3 linked regions of the Pelodiscus sinensis genome follow. The protein of the gene in region 1 binds, or shares a complex with, the protein of each later gene. Links are inferred from orthologs where the notes say so. Each region holds a gene or a part of one and is shown in the gene's direction. Other genes may lie near its edges.

Region 1 (7,392 bases):
GTGGTCACACACGGCCTGCAGGAGGATGGAGAAGTACCCCTTGCAGTTCACGTAACGGGACGCCTGGTGTTCCGGGGCATGGATGGGGATGTGCGTCCCGACGATGGCCCCCCTCCCCCCCCCGCAGTTGGGGAAGCTGAGGGCGCCGAATCCCTGGATAACGGCATCCGGGTCGGCAAGGCGGACCACCCTGCGGAGCAGCACCCGGTTGATGGCCTTGACCACCTGCGGAGAGAGACACAGCAAAGCGCCAATCAGTGGGGCGCCCAGGTGGCTGGGAGCATTCGTGCCCTGGCAGTGCCCCGCGCCCCACTCCTGGAAGCAACCCCCCTGGCGGCGTGTAGTACGGCCGGGACAGACCGACCCCTCCGGTGCGGGGCGCTTTCGCCTCCTCCCGCCCCCCCCCTTTATCCCTGGGGTGGCCCATCCCCTCCTTGCAGCCCCCCTCCTCCTCTGGCGTTGTGGCCGGCGAGTGCCGTACCTGCATGAGCACTGCTCCGATGGTGGATCTCCTCACGCCAAACTGGTTCCCGACGGATCGGTAGCTGTCCAGCATGGAGAGCTTCCAGAGGGCAATGGCCACCCGCTTCTGGAGGGGGATGGCGGGCCTCATGCGAGTGTCCCTTCTGCGCAGAGCAGGGGCAAGCCACTCGCAGAGCTCCAGGAAGGTGTCCCTCCTCATCCTGAAGTTATGGGTCCACTTCCCAGCGCTCCAGGACGATGCGGTCCCACCAGTCGCTGCTGGTGTCCAGACGCCAGATGCGGCGGGGCACGCCGGTGCCGGGGCGCCGCCACGGCTCCTCCACGGCCCCCAGGGCGGCCAGGTGGAGAGGCAGGGGGCTGACGTGCACCAGGTGGTGCCAGGCAGCCTCGAGCCATTGCTGGCAGGCTTGCAGCAGCAAGTCCAGAAAGTGCACCAGAAGGTGCAGGGTGAGCTCTGGCTCCATGTTGCCACCTGCGGCGGCGGCCCCGAAGGGAAGCACCGACACAGACGGGCACAGAGACCAACGCTTTGCTGTCCCTCAGCGAGGATGGCAAGCAAGCAGGAAAAGCTGAGAACCGGCTGTCCAGGGGGGTCCCTTTAAGCACAAGCCTCAGATAGCCTCAGACAGCAGCCACACAACGCAATTACTGACCTGATGCCCTGCCAGAACCGGTTTCAGCCGCCCTTAAATGCGCCCCTGCGTCCAATCAGTGTGGACGCGCTAGTTCGAATTAGCAAAACGCTATTTCGAACTAGTTTTTAGGTCTAGATGCGTTAGTTCGAATTAGCTTAGTTCGAATTAACTAATTCAAACTAAGTTAGTTCGAATTAGTGCTGTAGTGTAGACGTACCCAAAGATTTAAAGAAGAGGGCTGAGTAATTGCTACATTTCTCACCTGTACAGTCGTGTTGCAACCCACTTTCCCACCTCCACTCCTACACATTTAGCTTCCTGGTTCCCTTTGCATGACTTTAATTCACGATGTGACGAGGTGCAGTCACAGACAACCCTTCGGAGGTGGCTCCCAGGGTGCTGACATGGCCACTGCTACTCACCTTCCTGCTCTCTGGGGCTCCTCACCACTCAGTGTCCTCCCCCACCCGTGAGCAATGCAAGTTTCAGCACTGTAAAGTGGCAGTGTAGACACTGCTTCAGCAATGGGAGTCACTCCCCTCATAGAGATGGCTTTATTACAGCACTGGGAGATCTCTCTCAGTGCTGGAGCTGTGACTATTCAGCTACAATAAAGCCCTGCTGCAGCAGTGCATTAAAGTTGGCTGTGTAGACAGAGCCTTAAAGCTACTTCAGCCACTTTCTTACCAGTACCCTATCCCAGCTTATTTTCACCTCTGGTCTCTCCTAAACCAGGCCCAGCATTGTGTTTCCATCTATTGTGACTGGAATAATGTTATCCTTTGAGCTGAAAAGCTTCTACTGGGTTTGTGAGGCACAGGCCTGGGAACAGTCACATTGCATTTGAGATCAATCTTTTTACCCGTGGCCTTCTCCTGCCCACAAGTAATGCAAATTATGGGACCTCCTCCCTTCTTTTCATTCCTCCAAGTGTGATCTTTGGCATATTATTCAGCCCCAAGGCCATCCCTGGGGAGAATGCCAATGTGTCCCGTGCCTGTTGAAGTTGTGTCCAAAGGGGCTGTTGCAAGCTGTAACCATCCTCTCATGGACTCCAACGTAGCAGAGATGGGCTTCTTGGGCTTTCCTGACAACTCACAATCTAATTTTGCTTCCAGAAAATATTCTGAGAGGTGGACTGCCTCTTTCGCACTCATAGCCTGCTGGTGATGGACCCACCCCTTGCTCAGATGAGCTGGCTGAATTGTTGAAAGGTTACCAGCTTCACAGTTTCCATCAGATAGAAAACCTCTGGTTGTTGTTGTTGCGGGGGGTGAAAGTAAAAGGAGGACTTACTGGTGCACCTGGAGCCGGGGTCCTGGGCGGCTCTGGGGCCCCAGAGGGGTAGGGCATTGGGCAGAAGGGGCAGGCTCCTCCAGACATCCCTTTGTGCCCCAGGGCTTCAGCAGTAATTTGAAGGGTTTGGGGCTCCCAGCTGCTTCTGTGGTGGCCGAGAGTCCTGGGCACTTTTCAATTACCAGGTACTGGGGCAGCACCCCCTTTTACTCCCCCCATCAGCGGCCCAGCCTTAGGGTCCGGCAGTGCTACCGTGGCAGTGTTTCTCTGCCCCTTTTGGGGCAGCAACATCAAAGTACTGCCATGGCAGCATTTCTGTACCTTACCAGCAGGGCTTCTAAAGGGTGAAGGACTGAAAGAGGCAGCAATGTTAAAACAAGAAACAAAAATGCAAAAAGTAACAAACACAGCTGTCTGTGTAGGGCTTCAGCAGCTACCAAATCAGGCCTTTCTACCTTGTGGTTGGACCCATGCGGTACTTTGTGGGAACCCTCTCAACCTCTCCAATTGAAGCTGTTCCAGTTGATATAAAAATTAAATATGAATGGGGTCACAGAGTGAGTCAGAATGGTCAGCACTGAATAGCTGTAAGGCTTTAATCCAATGGCTTTGTGGCCAGGGTCCCCATCCAAGGCCCATTGGACACAAGTGCCTAAGAGTTCCATCCGAGGGACCATCAGACACAACATGGCAGAGAAGGAGTTCTATCCAGGGACTCAAGGGGCCTGGACTCACCAAGCTGGCTAAATGGAAGTACCCCAAAGGAATCTGCATGGGTGCCTTTCTTCTCTGCTGGCCCCTGGATATTTTTCCTGAGCATCCTTTGCCTCCTCTCTCCATTTTGGCCTGTATGACCCCTCAATAAGGGTATGTCTACACTACCCCCCTAGTTCGAATTAGGGGGGGTAATGTAGTCATACGGAGTTGCAAATGAAGCCCAGGATTTGAATTTCCCGGACTTCATTTGCATAAAGCTGGCCGGCGCCATTTTTAAATGCCGGCTAGTTCGGACTGCATGCCGCGCGGCTACACGCGGCACGAACTAGCTAGTTCGTATTAGGCTTCCTAATCCGAACTAGCTGTACACCTAGTTCAGATTGCTGGGACTGAGTTCAGTTTCACTCTGGGGCAAGGGATTGAGTTCAATCTTATTTGATCTCAGACAGCTCTTCCATCCCAAGGTCTCATTTAGAAACCCATTTTCTACAATTTACAAGACAGATTTGTTTGTTCTGCAGTATCTTTAAAATCAGAATACAAACTGGTTTAGTTTGACACATCGGACAGTTCCCATTGCTAAGTCCCAACACGGTGATTATATGCTATTTCTGTGGAGGTTTCAGAATGGATCATTAAAGTTGCGCATTTCACTATTTAGTAAAGGATTGACATGAAGCCATTAAAAGAACGAGGGCTTGTCTACAGTAAAAAGGTGCTGCAGCGCATAATGCAGATGCTGCCTAGAACAACAGGACAACAATGTAGTTACACCCACATCAGTTGCTAGCATAGACCAAGCCCGTGAACAGTAGTTTTAGAATCCTATTTTTCTGGCTCCCCCAGTGCCTTAGGTTGACAAAAACTCTATTTTCCTGCAGGGGACACTGCTGCTTAATTCTGGACAGAAACAGAACTTGTAGGTAAGTTCTACTTCAAGGAACATATTACAGAAATGGAGAAATCTGAAGAGAAATGAAATGCTGTCTACAAAACAGGGAAACAATCCCAGTGTATTTCATGATGCTTCAGTTCATTTGTTCAAGTGTTTGCATCAAACTGAAATTAACTTTATTTTCTAAATGTATAACAATTAATGCTTTCAAAATATGTTAATTGTGTGAGTAGATGTACAAGACATTAAACTTTGTCCTTGTTAAAAACTTGCTTTGTTAACAAAGTCCTTCAGTTAGCAAATGACCAAGTGACTTCACTGTTGCAGTTATAAAGAAAAGATTCCAAATCTAGAACTATATGAAATGTAAGACACTTGAATATGATTATTCTAACAGATTCTATACAGTATTAATGCTGTTAATTTGTTCTATTTGAATATGAAGTTCATCTAAGGCTAATGTAAAGGTTGTATGGCCACTTTAAATGGCATCCTCTGGAGTTTTGATCCTACAGAGTTGTTTCACATGAAGCAGAGTATGACTCATGCTAATGCAAAGAGTAAAGAGGATTTTTTTAAAGAAATATATCGCAGTTAAATTAGTTTAGACAGCATGACATCAGAGAGTAATTAAATAGGTTTTTGTTGGAATTCCGTTTCCAATTCCTGAGTTCAGGTTTGCAAAAAAAATTCTAAGCACCTGCAGGTCTGTGTGTGTGAAATATTTTCACTGGAAGGGATTCAAAACTTAAAAAGAAAAAAAGAAAAAGAAACTTGTAACACAGAGGCAGCATTACGCCATTCTTCCTTCTTGGAAAAAAAAAACACAACCCACTCAGATTTAAACAAGTCTCCTTCAAGCTTTCAGTCAGTTTTACAGAAGAAAAGGGGGTGGTAAACCTTCTCTTTTCAAGAACAAGTTCTTTTTAGCTGCTAACTGAGGACAGGAGAAGATTGGATTGGAATAAATGAGCATTTCCACTATGGGACTGGATACAAATGTTAAACAAACAGATTTAAAATGTTTTAAGCTTAAAAGAAATCTGTTTCTGCTGACTTCAGTTTTTAATTTCTTTAATGTTTTTTTATGCCAAACTGGAGGAACCTTTTCTGATTTTTTCTTTAGTGGCATTCAAAGGAAGACCAGAGGATGAAAATCTTGCACTTTCTCACTTTACTGCTTTGGCATATGACTTGGTTCTATCTGGTTCTAGTTTCTGTATTGTTTAGTAATTCTGTAGCAGGTCAGAGTAATCCAGGATCCAAGTTAGGATTGTTAAAAGCAGAAGGAAAACAGACAAATCCCTCACCAAGGGCAGGTACCTTTAGGACTGGAAACCATGGATATAGTGCTGGGACCTTAAAGGCTAGAGCTAAAAGCAATACTGTTCAAGCTGGAGCTCTCTTGGCAAAGAATAATGAACCAAAGAAGAGTCTCTCTAGAGAAGGGACCACAGACACAAAGGTAGGGCAGTCCCCATACAGACAATCTGGAGTAAGGACAGTGACCCCAAAAGCTCTGAACCTTGGCATCAAAGCTTCACTCAGAAAAAGTAGCACAAGTAATACTGATACCAGTTCTTATAAAACCAAAAAGGCTAATGAGCCAGTAACACAAAGGGAACCTAAAGAGACTTTCAAACACCCCCCTATAACGCCACATGAATACATGCTCTCCCTCTACAGGACTCTCTCGGATGCAGAAAGAAAAGGCATTAATGGAAGTGTAAAACTGGAGACTGGACTTGCCAACACAATAACAAGCTTTATAGATAAAGGACAAGGTAAGAAAGGTGCTACCACATTTGAGTGTGCATGTCACGTCAGTATGTATGTGGTGCATGTCTGTATATACTGTTACCTGAAAAATAACCATTACTAAAAGAAAACAGCTTGACTGATTCATATGTAATCAGAATCACGTAACTGAAAGGCAATTTTTCTCTTTTCAGTTTAAGTTTAGAAGATTCTTCTGGCAGCAGGCTATAGTATTTATATGCTTGTGAAGCAAACCCTTTAGGGACAGGTTTTCAAAGGCAGATGCCTAATCGAATTTTCAAAAGCACAGAGGCACCTACCTCATATTGAAATTAATGGGTGTTAGATGCCCAGGTGGTTTGAAAACCCACTGACTGCCTACTGGCATGTTTAGGTGCCTAAACACCTTTGAAAATCTAACTCTGGGGCTTTTCATACTTCAGCTACAGTAGTTGGTAAAATATCTTTTTCTTTCTTGCGAGCCGTATGTCTACAGGCACATGGTGCCACAAAGACAGTGCTATTTCTGTGCTTTTCCAGGAGCCAAACAAAGAGGCTCTTTGTTAAAATGCTGGCCTCTCCAAGGAGAGACCTGAGACGCTGTGGCATGAGTTTTTGATTGTGGAAAAATGAGAGAAAATTGAGATAGATTTGGGCACCTCTTCCTCCAATAAATGAACAGGCTTTATTTCCTGATCATCATTTAGCTCTTCTGATTGGTGAGATGGACAGTGTCACAGATCAGGTATTCACCTGACACTTCTAGTAGCATAATTTGAGCCCGGTGCTGCTCTCCTCCATGTCAGGATGAGTTTTTTTCTGGGACTGAAGGGAGTATGGATGGTGCCCATAAAGAGCAGCTCCTGGGAATGCGATGGAGGAGGGAGCAATTTGAGGTTGTCACTGACAATCTCCTCTGGAATGGACACTCAGAAGAGATTTAATTATCACAATTTTGCTGCTATAGTGAAATGGGATGCTGCTCAGCACAGCTGCAGTCCAGATGAAATACTTGATTCTCCTTTGGAAGGCCATGTTAATGTAACATGGTGAGTTTAAATAACCATGTTTCTTAATAGCGTTTCTTATGAACCTTACCAGGCAAATGGAACAATTTTTCAGGGGCGTTATATTTTTTGCACTGTCAGAATAAGTTGCGAGCCTTAATAAAGCAGTTACCCTGATGTCTGGCAGTTTCTGGAGGATTTGGGTTTGAAGGGACAAACCATTTCAATATCTCTTTGTGAAATTCACCACTGTGCAAGGAACAGCATGAGTCCCAGGCACCACCTAAACCCCACTTCAGTCCTATTTCAAGAATGCAAGTGGTAGCATTAATTGTGAGGGCTCAAACCTGAAGGAGGAATTCTGCCAGTTGGCTAATTGATACTTTGGGGCCAGAAAACACCCAGGCTACGTCTACACTGGCGTGATCTTGTGCAAAAACTCTTTAGAGCAAGAGTTCTTGCATTAAAGTAGTTGCGCAAGAGAGTGTCTACACGGGCATGTGCTTTTGCACAAAAGCATCCTTGCCAGTGTAGACACTCTCTTGTGCAAGAAAGCTCTGATGGCCATTTTAACCATAGGGCTTTCTTGCGCAAGATATTC
Region 2 (7,210 bases), on another chromosome or scaffold:
TCCTGCAAGAATTGCACAAGATTCACCTGAACTGAGCTATTGTGATTCTGTATTCTGGCCATGCCAATTCTGGTTCACAATCTCCACAGACTCTTCACCTGCACACCACTCTGCTTCGGGACACTCCCTGATGTCCTCAATCAAAATTGGGGCCAGGTCCAGCATCCCAAGCTAGGCCATCTGCTCCTCATAGCCTTCTATTTGGATGAGGTTTGGGGATAGACAGGGTATGTTCCACTCTGGTGTAAGACATCCTTATGCAAAGGAGGGCATCCAGCAGGTTCTGCTACATAGCTAAATGGAGACACTTTACCTCATGGGGTCACCGCCCTCACCGTCCACTGAGTGCTATATCTATGCCTACCATCCTCACCTACCTTCTCAATTTTACCCTTAGCTCTATACGAATCTACCTGTCAGTGCTCAGTGCTTTTGTCTCACTTGTGGACTAGGGATGTAAAATCCCGTTTAATCAGTTAACTTTTTTAAAGTTATGTTTAACCGATTAACCGTTTAAATGGGGACAGGCCAGAGGAACTGGGCCAGAGCAGCATGCTGTGGGCAGGGGCACTCCAGCCCACTCAGAACAGCCCCAACTTGCACCAGACTGGGCCCACCACAAGGGGGACTGCTCTGGCCAGGCTGGAAGGCCCCCCGCCACCCGCAGCAGAAGGCCCCTGCCAGTTAACCATAACTGGTAAGCGTCACCTGGTAAAGATGATGATCATCGCTTAACCAGTTAACCATTCACATCCCTACTGTGGACAGCTCCACTGAGTTTATACAACTCTACCACCATCCATTTCATGAAGGGTTTACTCAGTACCTTCCTGTTAGTACTCAAGCCTACTCCCCAGTTGGACTTGAATCTTGTTCTCTCAGCCCTCATAAAGCCACCCTTCCAGTCACTGGCAACAAGCTCCCACCTCTCATGCAGCTGATATTCTTGACAGTCATTACCTCAGCCAAACAGGTCAGTGTACTATGGGTGGTGCCCCCTCTGTCCTTTTTGCCTGTCTCCCCACCATAATCAGAGCCCACAAACCTCCTGCCCCCCCTCCCCACTGCATCCAGAGCCACAAGACCTCCTACTTCCTCACATAGCCAAAGCCCTGATACTCTTGGCCTAGCCAGAGAAGCCCCGATATCCTCTGTGATCTTCTTGTAGATTAGGGAAATTACTGAGGAATCTAGGAAGCTGAATAGCCCATACTATCTACTCAGGAACCCCAGAACTTGCATGAGGCATAATAAATTAAAAACTTCCTTTGCCCCAAACCCTGTAACTGAGGGTCTGATGGAGGCAGAAGCATCAGGGAAGACAGAGCCATCCTTGCTGCTTATACCCTCCATCCATCCTGGCAACCCCTCCTCACAAGAATAAAGTTTTCTTTTGGTTATACCCTAAATAACTCCCGAAATTGTGTTAAAGTTCCACCTAAATCAGTGCATCCACCTACATGTTTTCTGCCATAAGCCCACAAACCTCCCACACTGACAGAGTCCTGTACTCCCTCAATATCCACCATACATTCTACTACCACAGGACTTGCTCATTTTGCACATGGCCAAAACTATTTGTGACCGTGGCCATTGACAACTGATTCAGTCCTCTCATCCAAGTGAATCTCCAAATGGGTTTCCAGGTGCATCTGCGAATGCTACACACAATCAACATACTTCCACTTGATGGAGACATAGGGCACTCTACGTGAGTGCAAGCAGCCACACTGACCTGCCTCAAAGATGACTCCCGGCAAGACATATGGCATGTAGCAACCTGGCATTCCATCCACGTGTTCACATACTACTATGTCATTGCTGAAAGTAGTAGCTACAGGCTCTGCTGTGGGCCAGCTTGTCCTGCTGACTGCACTTTCACTGGCATCCTCACATCTACCTCTTCACTGATCACTGCTTGCTAATCACTCAGGTATCTTTCATAAAAGATGGATACATAAGGGATCAGAGTGGATAAAAATCAGAGTGGGTTTTTTTTTTTAATAAATCAGGTTTTTTAAATTTAAAATCTGATTTTTTAATTTAAATTGGATTTATTTTTTTAAATCAATAAAATACTCAATTTCTCATTTCAAAAATAAGTTACAGTTTAATCTAATCAAAAGCATGCTATACCTACACCTACATTGTCATAAAAATAAATTACTTGCTCTAGTCTGTCCAGTCTAACTACCAGCTCTCGCTTCTTAAAAGTTCTGGGCTTTCAATTCCTGTTTCTCAGCAGACTACAAAGTGCAAAGAGCCACTGGCTGGATAGGATTGTTTTAGTTCTGTGCTTATATGATGGTGGAGCTTAGCCAAGCACAGTAGAGCAGTTAGTTAAGCCATTGTCTTAAAGACAAAGACAATATATTGGAAAGGATGGAGGTAGCATAGAAAGGAACAGTGAAAAGTACTGGGGGAAAAAAAGGAAGCCATTATTCAGAACACTCATAGCTTCCTATATTCCCCCCACTTTTGCCACAGACAAGTGCCATCGCTTCTAGACATAAGAGAGACCCTATCTGGAATAGTTTGAAGAAATTTGTTCCCTGGGTAAAAAAAGAGAGAGTGTCAAGTGTAAGCAGTGCAAGAAGATGCAGGGCCTAGTTGTGAGAACGAAACATCATAAAGAAAACTGCTTATTGGGAGAAAATGATGTGGATATTGACAAGTAAATTCCCAAGCTGTTTACTGTGTTGGATGTTGCTAGGGGAAAAAAAGTTTAGTTTAGCTAATCCTTATGGCTTGTTTAATTAGTTAACAAGGTTTAGACTATCACTCAAGTATACAATACAGAAAGCTGCAATAAGAGAAATCTAGATTTGCCAGTTGCTGCTGATGGTAATTTTGATTCATATTACATAAGACATTACCCTTATTTTGGAACATCCTGGCCATAGATGCCGTAAGTCCATTCCCTATTTTACTTCAGCATAACTCAGCTCTTCCAAGGGAATCCCATTCCATACCCTGTCATAGTGAAGCTGCCTCCCTGTGAGCCAGCTGAATTTAACTGATACCACTAAATAATAAGCAACAGCTAATTGGTTAAACAATTAATTAATTAAACTCTAACATCCCTACTGTAGGCACAGCCAGTCATTGCTGTTTTGGTAATTTGATTTAAATCAATGATTTTTTTGTGATATAAATAATCTTGATTTAAATTAGTCTACCTAGATAGGGACCACAACTTGAAAAAAGAAGAGGTCACTTATCCTCAACTGGAGGTTCTTTGAGATGCATGGTCCCCATTTGTTTTCCAAGACCTGCCCTTCATCTCCTTTACTGTGAATTCAAATACATAATAAGAGGCCCACTGGAGAGACATTGATTTGCACAACCAGCTTCAAGCATGAGGGGATGCATCCTGCTAAAAACACTTCTGGACACAGGAGTGTGCACACCCACTCGTGGAATACAAAAAGGGATCACATCTCTAGAAGAACCTCCGGCAACAAAGCACGACTTTATAGATCTCAGCCATATACCTTCTCCTGGCTCCTCTCTGTTCTCAGTTCAACAGTCTGGGCTGGTAGCATCTGGCCTTGCATGGAAGCTGTCGCCCACCCTCCAACTGCTGCCCATGGCCCTTCTCTGTACTTTTCCCAAGTCCAGTGTAACTCTTTAGAGGGAGGCCACCAGAGCAGCCCAGGGCATTCAAGCCTATTTTCCACTCCAAACACGCAGCGATTCAGTCCAGTGTTAAAATGTGGAGCAGCTGCCACATCTGGGGCCCGCCTGCTGCAGAGGTGGCCAGGCCTCAGGGGCTGGGCCGCCCTCCGGCCGGGGAGCCCTTTGCAAAGTTTGGCAACTTGGCCAAACCGACCCGGGAAATGGTCCGGGTTTGGGGGGGGGGGGGGAGGCGGAGCAGGTCTCCCCGAGCGGAAGGTGGGAGCAAGGTCCGGGGGGAGCGGGGGCAGCTCCGCAGTGAGTGCGAGGGGGGAGCCAGCCCCACCCCCACGAGGGAGGGAGGGAGGGTCCCGTCCCGTCCCGTCCCTTGACGGAGCCCCTAGGCGGGGCGCTGCCGGGCCCTGCGCGAGCGGCGCGACGCCTCCTCCCTGCGTGCGGCCGAGGCGGAGGAAGCCGCGGGCTGCACAGCGCGGCCGCCCCCGCCGCCGGACCGGAGCGCCAGGCACAGGGGCTGCCCCGCCCGCGACGCCTTTGGTAAGAGACCCGCCGGGAAGGGGGAGCAGAGCGGGGCTGGGCAGCGAGGCTCGCTCTGCTTTGTAGACAGGCTGGAGACGGCCCCGGGCACGCCGCGCTGGGGGACCCCCCCGCGCCCAAGCGCAGCCGGGCACTGGCGGGGGGGGGGGGACCGGGGACTCGTTGCTAGTCCTTGGCTCTGCTTGGGGTGAGCGCGGCTGCCCCCCCCGCCCCGGCAGAGGGGCTGCTGCTGCTGCACCCCCCTTTCCATCGCACGCAGGGGTTACAGGTCGCTGCAGCGGCTCCCAGCATCCCCACCGCGCGCACCGTCCCAGCGCCCTGCCCCGCGGAAGGGTGGGAAAGTTTCAGGAGCAAACGTTTGGGTTTGTTTTTTCCCCCAGGAGGCTTGTGCCATGGCCATCTTCATAGGAAAATGGTGACTCGGACAGAAGAGCGGGGGGGCGGGGGGGGGGGAGTCTCCGTGAATTATTAAGTCAGTTCGAGGTGTTTTGTGTCATTGGGAGCTGCTAGTACATGAGCTGGTAGAAAAACTGTTGGGGGGGGGGCGGGGGGAAAGGTGGCATTAAAAGCAAACCCAGCTTTGTGTGTGTGTTGGTCAGGCAGTCAAGTTCAAGTGGGTGTTAGATGTACAAACCTCCTGAATCCCCCAACCTGGGCAGTAGGGTATGTTGGATTGAGGAGGTTTTGTGTGGCCCATGGAGGGTGCTCGGGCAGGGCTTAGGAGGGAGGGCGTGTGAGGGGGATGGGAGTGAGGGGGATTACTTGGCTCTGTGCCCCCTTCTGCTCACAGGCATCCCCTTCTACCCCCCCCCCGTCTTTTTTAAAGCAATAAAGAGACACTTCCAATGAGGCATCTTCCCTCCGCTATGAGGAGAGGAGGAGTAGCAGGCATAGACCTGATTGCTCTTCCCCTTTGACTGGGTCCATACCACAGGTGTTTCTGGATTAGGGACACCCAAAGTACAGAGATTCATGTTGTGAATTGTTTCTGTACTGCTGCACTGACAATCATTCACTTGAAAACTACCTAGCTACCCAGGGCAAAATGAAGCTCCAAGGAACAGAGACCTCAGTCTTATTTCTGTGTATGGAACCAAATTATTTGAACTATGCCCTCCCTCAGCAATTTTAAGGGGCAAGAGCAATGTAGATAGTGAAGGGACAGTTCAGCCATACAAGGGCTCTAGTGATCTGGTCATGAACCAGAGTCCCATTGTGCTAGATGCTGTACAAACACAGAACAAAAAGAAGTTGTCCCAAAGAGATTACAGTTCAACTACTGTACCTCTCGTTTCTGTTCAGTGTTCCTACCACTTGTGTTGGCCCAGACCCATTGAAGGAACATGATCTACTCCAGTGTTTCTCAACCATTTTTTGTAATAAAGTACTTCCTTTAAAAAAATAAGTACCCCCAGTACCTACAGTTTTCAGACACACACACACAATTTTTTTTACCATTGCAGCAACATTTGATTAAACAACTTAATCGTAGCCAGGTGAGCAATGACATTTTTGGGTGTAAAAAGTACAAAAATAATAAAGCGCTGTAAAACTTATAACAAATTCAGTTTTCTCCAAATTTCAGTTGTGTTGACAAAACCCCCACGTTTCTCTTGAGTACCCCAAGGGTACCTGTACCACTGGTTGAGAAACACTGATTTCTACTCTTTTGCTGCCATAACAAACTCTCTGACGGCAGTACCATAGTGATAGAAATGTAGCCGTGTTAGTCTGGGGTAGTTGAAGCAAAATGCAGGACAATGTACCATCTTGTTAGTCTTTAAAGTGCTACATTGTCCTGCATTTTGCTTCAACGGCAGTACCATATGTTTGTGCAGGTGAAGAAGTTTAATCACCAACTCATGATGGGTGTGTCATGGATATTTTCTCCCCTGTGTCATGATTCCTTGTTTTAGATTAGAAAGCATTTTTGTTTAGGATGGACTTAGCTAGCCCATGTTTGGACTAACTCAACCAGCCGAAATCAAGCTAAAGATGTTGACCAATTTTCACAGTTTAGATACAAGATGAGTAACTTGTGTTAATTAAGCCAGATCTAAACTTGACCTTATTCTAAGTCAAGGTTTAGTGTGCAACTTAGGGAATCATTAGGAATGAGCCAATGAGAGATAGCTGGCAGAAAGTGAAGGTAGGTGAGGAATGAAGACCAATGAAAAAGGTGTGAGGGGCAAGCTGGGGATGGGTGTAGTGAAAATGTAGATTGAAAAAGTAAGTGGCAACTAAGATAAGCAATGGAACATGGAAATGGTTAGCCACTCACCCCACAACAAAGATCAATATTCAGTTATCAATGTACAGTAATTCCTCATTTAACACTATAGATATGTTTCAGAAAATGATCGTGTTAAGTGAAAACATGTTTTGCGGGGTCAATTTTCCCATTGAAAAGAATGGAAAAGGTGGGGGTTGCGTTTCAAGCGGTGGTGTCTGTTGGGACCGGGACATAAGGTTGGGGGAGAAAGGGGACTGGGTTACAGCAGGGAGGGGAGGTGTTTGGCTCTGGGGAAGGGAAGGAGAGGGGAGGGGGATTGGGTTGGGAGTATGCCCCTGTGACCGGTCTGCCAGGACCCACACTGCGTCCGGTGAGGGGAGTCGCCGGGGAACAGTGCGGTGAGCGACAAACCCTCTGCCGTTTTGCAGGGAGGCGGGGGAAGCCCCGCACAACCGCCAGCAACAGGCCGGTTGGGGAAATTGTGTTATTCCAGGGATGGTCGTGTAATTCAAAAAACGTTTCCTAAAAAAATAAATCATGCTATCGTGAAAACGTGTTAAGCAGGCACGTGTTAAATGAGGAATTACTGTAACTCCATAGCAGCATATTCATGTTTGTATTAGCTATCCAGTTGTGTATTCATAAGCCTTTTGATATATATTGACTAAATCCAGACTGATGACATTGAAACAATTTGGTGCTACGTCAAAACATGACTTAATTCACTAATCTATCAGAGCTCCTTCTTTATCAGTATTTGTTTATTTACTATATCTTTAGTTTAGCTCCTGTCATTTTTGATTAAGA
Region 3 (7,880 bases), on another chromosome or scaffold:
GATGAAATTTCAAGACTTTGAAATAAGGATATAAGGGTCATAGTAAATAACACCCCCAAACTATTATTATATCATATTCATTGTGAAGTATATACAATTAAAATTTTGTATAACCAATAGCCTTTAGAAAATTAATTTACTGTGTGTTACTGTGTTTTAAAAGACAAAATACTTTCACATGAAATATCAGTATCGCATAAAGATAACTATGTTACATGGATATCAGCTAGTAGAGCAGCACTAGCTGACAGTTCAATTGAAAACTTACTCCTGAGTGAAATAAACACAGAAACTGCTAAGTGGAAAAAACTCCTTGAGCACATATTGAACGTCATTCTTTTTCTTTCTGAATGGGGATTGGCTTTGTTTGGTTCCAGGAAACAATTGGTGACTCTACAAATAGAAACTTTCTTGGTATCCGTGAGCTTCTTAGCAAGTATGACACAATCAGGCCATTTTAAGTGTGTTTGTGAATCACATGAGAGATCGGAAAATGTGTGTAAGTCTATTATCTGTCTACCAGAATACAAAATGAGTTTATTGAGCTATGTGGGATATTTGGGCAAATAACGGTTCTTGAGGAGATATGACATGTGAAGTGCTTTTCAATTATTATTGATTCAACTCCAGACTGTTCTCATAAAGAAGAGACAACCTTGGTTTTTTGATATGTTAAAATTGCAGGAAGTTCAAAGATTTCAATTGAAGAACAATTAATTTTGTTCGATAAGTTCACACAAAAAAACCAAGAAAAGAAACCGCCACTTGTGTATTAGAAATTCTGGAAGGCTTCAAATTAAATTTTCAAGTCTGTATTGGCCAAGACTATGACAATGGATCCATTACAGCTGGGAAGTGCAATGGAGTACAAGCAGTCCTTCTTGAGCAAAATCCAAACTGTATTTTCTCCGTTATGGCAACCACACACTAAATCTTGTCAGTGTTGACTGCACTGAATCATGCAAGGAAACAATGACATACTTTGGAACAATTGAGTGATTGTACAACCTCTTCAGTAGCAGTCCTCAGAAATGGGAAATTCTGAAGCAGCATCTGCCTGTTCCCCTTCACAGCATGTCAACAACAAGATGGTCAGCATGAATTGATGGCATTAAACCAGTTGCACAGCATTTGGATTCTGTGAGAAATTTTGTGAGCTTGAATCTCTTACTCTCAGGGCACAGGCTTGCACTAAGTTTAAATCAATTCAGAAGTATACATCCAAATTTGAATGCATTTTAATATCGTCCATGTGGATGAAGCTGCTAAAAAAAATCCACAAAACTAATCTTGTAATTGAAGCATGCAATGCTATTATATGTTGAGAGGGATAACGTTGAATGGTTTCTTAAAAATATTCAAAAGATTCATGATCCGTGGAATGCAATCCTTTCTGAGTCCAAATCAGAAGCACAGGATATTGACATTTCATCTGAGTTTTCCACAAGCTAACATCTCAATCGGATGCAGAAAGGCAGTATCGAACCAATGTTGTTGTTTTATTTGTTATTGTTGACTTCATCAAACATGGTCTTATATGTTGATTTGAGTCACTGCAACAAATTTGTACACTTTTTGGATTCCTCTGGGAATTCAGAGAACTAAGTGATGAAGATCTATATTCAGCAGCTGAACAGTTTCAACAAAGGTTCAACAACAAAATTTCAGGAAATCTCTATGACGAGATTGTTTTCCTGAAACGTATACATTCCATCAACTTTAAATCGGACTGCAAGCCAAAAAAACTGCTTCAAGAAATGTTCAATCTTGGCCTGTCAACTGTATTTCCCAATATCACAATTGCACTATATATTTTTGTCAGTCTCCCTGCATCAGTGGCTTCAGGTGAATGCATATTCAATGTGTTAAAACAAGTAAAGAACTATCATCGTTCTACAATGGGACAAGAACATTTGAATGGGCTCTCAATGCTTAACATTAACAGTGATGTTGCACTTAAATTAGATTTTTCTTCAATTATAAACAATTTTGCACACAACAAAACCAGAAAAGTATTCCTAAAATGAAGAGTTTTACTTGCAGTGGAAACTCACAATTAAAGTTACATTTTAAATATATATGCTATTGATATAATGACTTAATTGTTAATAAATAAATGTTTCAAGTGTTCATTTTCATATATTCTTTTGATTTTAGTATGACCCTGTAAATGAGAAGTTAAATACATCTGCTACCTGGGGGTGGAGCCTCTAAACTCAAAGTGGCTTGGGCCGCTGTCATTCTCTGAGAGGGCCTAGCAGACAGTGGTAATGCCTACTGAATGTGGACCTTATGCTTTCCAGCATCTAATGAGCTCTCTTCACACTTGTGTTTTGCCAGACTATGGGTGCTCCTGTGCTTTTATTATATGAAAATGTATCAGAAAAAATACACTTCTCTGAATCCTAGGGATGTTATGGGGTTTAATTAGTGTTTGAAAAGCAGCACCTTCAGATTCTTAGATGGCAGTTGTGTCATAAATGTAAAATATTAACTACCTTAATATTGGGATCACAGTGTTAAGAGTAAACTTCAAATAATAAAGATCACTGTGCATGTAAAGAACAGTTCAGATGCCTGTGCCAATGTAATTGTGGGGCTTATGTCCTGTCTGGTTCTCCAGCACCCAAGGACCTCCCTGTAAATAATTCACCTAGTGTCTAATGTGCCGGAAATCAGACAAAAATATAGGAGGGGCAGCTGTCCTAGCCAAGTTGGGTTGGCAAAAAGCTAAAGGGATCTGTTCTAGTAAAAATTAAAAGATATTTAATTGTTGTATTTATGTTAGTCCTGATTTCTAAGGTAACTTCTAATATATATTGAGCAATGTTTCTGGTAAGAAGAAAGGGACCATGCCTTTGCTCTGTTATCTCTGTTGCATTGGCAGAAACTCAAGAAAGAAAGAATAGTAAAGGACTGGGATTGCATTAGAAAACATTCTCTCAGGCCAGCTTTCTGGGATTGCTTTGAACTTTTACTCATCATTATTTCATGTGCCGAATTTTCTTTGTGCCTGTGGAAGGAGGATAGGGGGGAGAAAAACACACGAGACTTGCCTTTAGGATTTTTAATCAAAGCTACTGCTCTCCTGATTGCTGCAGTGGATTTTCAAACGCCAAAGCAAGTGGGTAAATTAAAATCCCATGTTCCTGTGGGCTAGGAACAGAGCTGTTTGAAATGTTCTTTAACGAGAAGAGCATGTTCCTATTGTTTTTCTTGCCCGAGCCGAGAAGCTCCAAAGAGATCCTATGTCCGGGAATACCTGGCAAAGGGAAACAGAAGTGAAATTAACTAAGGGGAGGGAGAAAGGGCTGGGCTATAGTTGGTTGCGCTCTCTTACCAAGTTGTTTTGGGTCCTGATCCAAACACCATCGAAGTCCTTGAGGAGTTTCCATGGGTTTTCAATGGGCAATCAGTCCCTCGGTCGCTAGACTGAGCAAATGAGGGACCAGGAATTCTCACAGGAAAAGGAGGAAAAAAAGCTGCTAGCATCTCGCAGTGCATCTGCTCAGTGCTTGAAACGCACAGTCCGGAAAACAAGAAAGCCAAATTCAGCTTCTCCGACCCATGCTGTGGCAACTTAAATGGCGCTATTCTGGTTGAAAAGGAGATGGGTCTGAATGAGACTTTCAGGGCTGGATCCTGAGACAACACAGTAGCGTTTATAATTCATCCCTGTTCTCCCCCCTCCCCATAGTTTAGCGAATTCAAAACAAAATGAGCCGAAGGCCAAATTTCCCTCCAGTTAAATGCAGCCGCTTATTTACTAGGTCAGATTTTCAGCCAAACATTCTGCGCCGATTCTTTGTTGTTGTTATTTGGATTCACTGTTAGCTCAAGAACTGGACAACAACGTACATAATAAAACGCCATCAGGAGAGGGATGGAAAACAGATTGGCCGCTGGCAGCAAAACATCTGGAGAAACCAGGCAGAGGCCTATGGGGGGGAGGAGGGGGGGAAGCTTGTTGAAACTACTTTGCATGCTCAGGTTATAAAAGGGCTGTTAATACCCCCAAAATAAGGGGGTTGTTGGAGGGCTGGGGGAGGGGGTTTCATATCGTAATTCACTCCCACTGCCTACGTTTGCTTGCTGAGGAAGTCTGATACGATGTTGTGAACAAGGCTGGGGAGATTGTAAAAGGCAGCCTACATCGAGGCAGGGCTACGTCGGCCAGTAAAAGGCTCCTTTGTGCAAAGCCTTGACTGGGAAGGGCTGGCGCGGCCATGCCCAGCTGATCAGCCAGATGTGCAGGTACATTCCAGCGGTGGCAGGAGCCACTGGCTGGGGGCGGAGGAACTGTGCTGCGGCTCCCGCCCTCCCCGGAGAGAGAGCAGCTTCCCAGGAGGGAAGGGGGAATTATTTTGCACTCTCGCTCGCTTTCTTTTCACCCCCTCCCCTCATTTGTTTGCTATAGGTGGCGGAAAGATCACGCTGTCATTAAAGGCACATCCCCTCCTTTTGTGCCGGTGCCAGGAAGAGAGAGACAGACAGACACTCCTAGGGGCTGGGGGAGCTCACTGGCGCTCCAGATGAAGCCGATCGCTCGCCAAGGTGTCGCTATCAGTCCCATCTTCCAAGGGGAAAGGGGCTGATCCGTTGTCCCGGCCCTCTCCCCCCCCCCCCCCCCTCCGACAGCGCCGACGGACTCGCTGTGCCATTCTTGCTGCCATTTTTCCCAGCTGGCAAGCACCAGGGATGAAGACCCGGGGATGTTTGTGGTGAGTTGTTTGTGTTGTTGGTCTCGGGGTTGCGTGTGTGTGTGTCGCCAATCCACCTGTCTCTCGCTTTCGAAGGAGCCACCCGTGGCAAGGAAGGGAGGCGCGCTCACCAGTGTCCCGCCGGGCATCTGAAATCGCTCACATATCTGCAGATTACAAATTGCATCTGATAAAATAAACACCTCTTGCTCCACATTGCTTTCCACTGATGTAACCCCGGAGCGGCTCGAGAATACAGTGTAGCTCCCCAGCGCTGGGCTTTCAGCTGACAACAAGAACATCCGAGGGTCAGTTATGAGCATGTAGTGGAAGAAAGGGCAGAAGGCCCAGGGGGGCACTGATGGAAACTTACTCCGAAGGATCCCAAGACTAGTCCGTGTGCGCGCGTGTTTCTGTGTTCCAGACAACTGCGGGCTTAACGAAGCCCTCTCGGGGCCCGGGGAAGGGAGAGCTCGGCAGGTGTGTGCTTCCCTCTTTGCAGTGACAGTTTCTCCGGTTATCAGAGAACTACATGCAAGCCCAGGCTGCGGTAGGAAAGCGAAAGTGTAACTGACGGCAGTAATTGCATTGTCTGGAAAGTGGGTGGGTGGGGAGAGAGTCCTGAACACTTTAGAGCTTTCTTGGGACTTTCTGGCTAACGAGAGGTTAATTTTGTTTCGGAGGGACGATTGTGTTGGTTTCCTGAGATACATGGGCAGGAAAAGCATTACCTCCTCGGTTCTGGCAGGCGGCTTCCAAATGCTTTCCGCACCTGCTACTTTAGTCAGTATCTGCAAGTCTAGGGCCCCATCAATTTAGGGCCAAGTAACGAACGCTTTCTGTGCCTTGCGAAGACGGACCTAACGTTTTTAATGATCTAATATACAGGTCCTAATTTGCAAAGTATCCCGTCCTCCAGGAGAACATGATGCAGCGTTGACTCCAGCGATCGGCGCCGCACCCTAAGGGTTAAATATGATGTAAGTACAAAAATATTTAGAAGTCGATTTATTATGTACTTATTGCTGATACTTTGCCTTCATTACAGTGGCAAAAGAAATAGTGGGGAATATGACGACTTGTTTTGCAAATTGAAACCCCAGGTTTCAGACCCCGCTATTCTTCCTTCACATGCCAATATAATAAGCAGACCAAGAGGATATTTGTGTTGTGCTTCTGCAACTGAGATTATAGCAGTAGGGGAACAGTTAAGGCATGACGCATACCTTTTGGAAAATAAACCACAGGTTGTTTAAAATGCAGTAATGCTTCTTGCATGTGTTTGACTTTTTCCCAGTTACACGCTCATTAAATTTCTCTTTTTTGTTGGGTCACTGCTTGTTTTGCCATTTGTTTTCCTTTTTGGGGGAAAAGAAAGCGAGAAGGAAAGGTCCGAGGCTTTAAAAAAATCTTGACTTATTTTCCTTTTTTACATTTTCAACTCACTACTATGATCCTCGTTTAGATGATCTTTGGTGGGTTATAAAATTAAATGTACACCTCAAAAATCCAGAGACAAATTTGATATTGTTTATAAAAACTGTGTACGGAATTCAAATAATTAATAATTAACTTTTACTATGAAATACAGCGCACACTAACGATGACCTTTCTATGCAAATAGCTCTGCTAATTTTAATATCCTGACACTTGAGACTCTGAACTATTCTCGTAACAACATTGTCTTCTGCTCAAGGATTATACATTTTTATAATAACAAATATGCAAATTTTAGGCATCTGAATCTCAGGCTTGACAAATTTTACAATTAAACAATAAAATGTACTTTCTCCTTTGAATGAACATAGTTACATTTCATAACCCAAAAATTCGGAGTAACTCAAGTGCGCCCTCTATTTGCCAAAGAACAGAACTGACGAACTCAGCAAAAGAATTGGAACAATTAAAAGTCAGCAGCAGGCAAAGATGCCACCGACTTCAGTGAGAATATCGCCTCAGGAGGGATTTCAGGATCTGATTTTAGCCTGGTTACTAATTTAGGAAAACCCGATATTAAAGCGGTAACTCTAGAAAGTCAACACAAGCAAAAAAACCAAGTCACTTTGAGTTTTTTTGGCACAGAACTCCGAAGAACTAGTCTTTCATGTTTCTTTAATGGGTCACCAAATGGGAGAAGTTAAGGATGGAGTGAAAGATCTATTTTCGAAATTCTTGATTTTTATCAATTTAAATCACGTTTTGTTTTTGTTTTTTTTTAACTAAAAAGAAAATTGGGTTAGACACCTGATACCACAATTGCCCCCAAGGCAATGGTTAAAGTCCAGCTTTGTACAGAATACATCATTCCTATGTGGTGTCACTATGATGATATTGTGGATACAACCTAAAAGGCTTGAATCATGCCCAAGGGAGAATCAGCTCTTTGTCACTGGCACAACTACAGGATACAGTGATGAGAAAAGACACTGTCAACATGGTTAGTTTAATATATAATTAGGTTCTCTTGATAACTTTTCCATGTGCATTTGCTAGGAATTACAAAGACAGTCATAGATAACTTAACAGGGTAGTTTGTACAGATAAAGCATTTTTGTAGGGAAAAATGGATTAGTCCAAGAAATGACTGTTTCTAAACTTTTTTTTTCATACTACTGAATTATTTTTTCCCATGCTTCCTAATGCCTTTGGTTGGGGTAGAGAGATGGGGAGGGAGAAGGTGTATCACTGTGGTCAAATTTCAGTACAACTTAACAAAGAAAAGAAGGTGAAGGAATTGCTGTGGATCTGATCACTGCAAACTTCAGACCAAACACCAGGGATGCTGGAACAATTTGTGTAGTGGGGGTGCTGACAGGTGTTGAAACACACTATAAACCCTGTTTATAATGGAAACCACTTCAAGCCAGCAACACCACCTTCACCTCCTAGTTCTAGCACCTATGCAAACATCCTTCATTATATGGGGCATGTTGGATAGGCCTACTCATTTTCACCTTATTATTAAAAGCACAAGCACTAATTACAGAATCCCCATTTTCCTCTGTAAGCTAAATCCTCAACACAGTGCAGTCTTGGGGGTTGGAAGAAAAGGGGATAAGGTATGTCTGCCTGACTACACCAAAGAGAAATGTGGGTCCTAGTGAAAGTGGATTTAAGTGGTAAAGCAATTAATGAAGATTATATCTCACTTCACACCTACTGATAACAAAATTGGACGCT

The links. Proteins that work in one complex are often made in the same cells at the same time.
Region 2: the proteins of GDF5 (region 1) and TWSG1 are in contact, whole or in part, in a crystal structure (PDB 8BWL), measured with the Homo sapiens proteins. The link is inferred for Pelodiscus sinensis from reciprocal best matches to the Homo sapiens genes GDF5 and TWSG1. Residues at the interface, in NP_000548.2 of Homo sapiens: Glu434, Phe435, Pro436, Ser439, His440, Glu442, Asn445, Val448, Ile449, Leu452, Ser455; in NP_065699.1 of Homo sapiens: Cys26, Lys28, Cys31, Ala32, Ser33, Val35, Ser36, Leu39, Ile40, Cys44, Gln45, Cys46, Arg47, Cys73, Val74.
Region 3: the proteins of GDF5 (region 1) and RGMB are in contact, whole or in part, in a crystal structure (PDB 6Z3J), measured with the Homo sapiens proteins. The link is inferred for Pelodiscus sinensis from reciprocal best matches to the Homo sapiens genes GDF5 and RGMB. Residues at the interface, in NP_000548.2 of Homo sapiens: Leu396, Arg399, Phe435, Pro436, Leu437, Arg438, Ser439, Asn445, Val448, Ile449, Leu452, Ser455, Met456; in NP_001353437.1 of Homo sapiens: Gln57, Thr60, Phe63, Val64, Thr67, Ser68, Leu70, Asn71, Tyr88, Leu103, Val104, Ser107, Ala108, Leu110, Gly111, Ile112, Asp114, Leu115, Gln118.

Annotation. Positions count from the first base shown.
Region 1 is NC_134728.1:31,475,379-31,482,770, forward strand, and holds the start of GDF5 (growth/differentiation factor 5), read left to right. Parts: upstream 1-4,331; 5' UTR 4,332-5,176; coding exon 5,177-5,810; intron 5,811-7,392. UniProt on the Homo sapiens protein: Growth factor involved in bone and cartilage formation. During cartilage development regulates differentiation of chondrogenic tissue through two pathways.
Region 2 is NC_134712.1:85,173,599-85,180,808, forward strand, and holds the start of TWSG1 (twisted gastrulation protein homolog 1), read left to right. Parts: upstream 1-4,005; 5' UTR 4,006-4,170; intron 4,171-7,210. UniProt on the Homo sapiens protein: May be involved in dorsoventral axis formation. Seems to antagonize BMP signaling by forming ternary complexes with CHRD and BMPs, thereby preventing BMPs from binding to their receptors.
Region 3 is NC_134716.1:69,370,575-69,378,454, reverse strand, and holds the start of RGMB (repulsive guidance molecule B), read left to right. Parts: upstream 1-4,675; 5' UTR 4,676-4,721; intron 4,722-5,588; 5' UTR 5,589-5,675; coding exon 5,676-5,680; intron 5,681-7,880. UniProt on the Homo sapiens protein: Member of the repulsive guidance molecule (RGM) family that contributes to the patterning of the developing nervous system. Acts as a bone morphogenetic protein (BMP) coreceptor that potentiates BMP signaling. Promotes neuronal adhesion.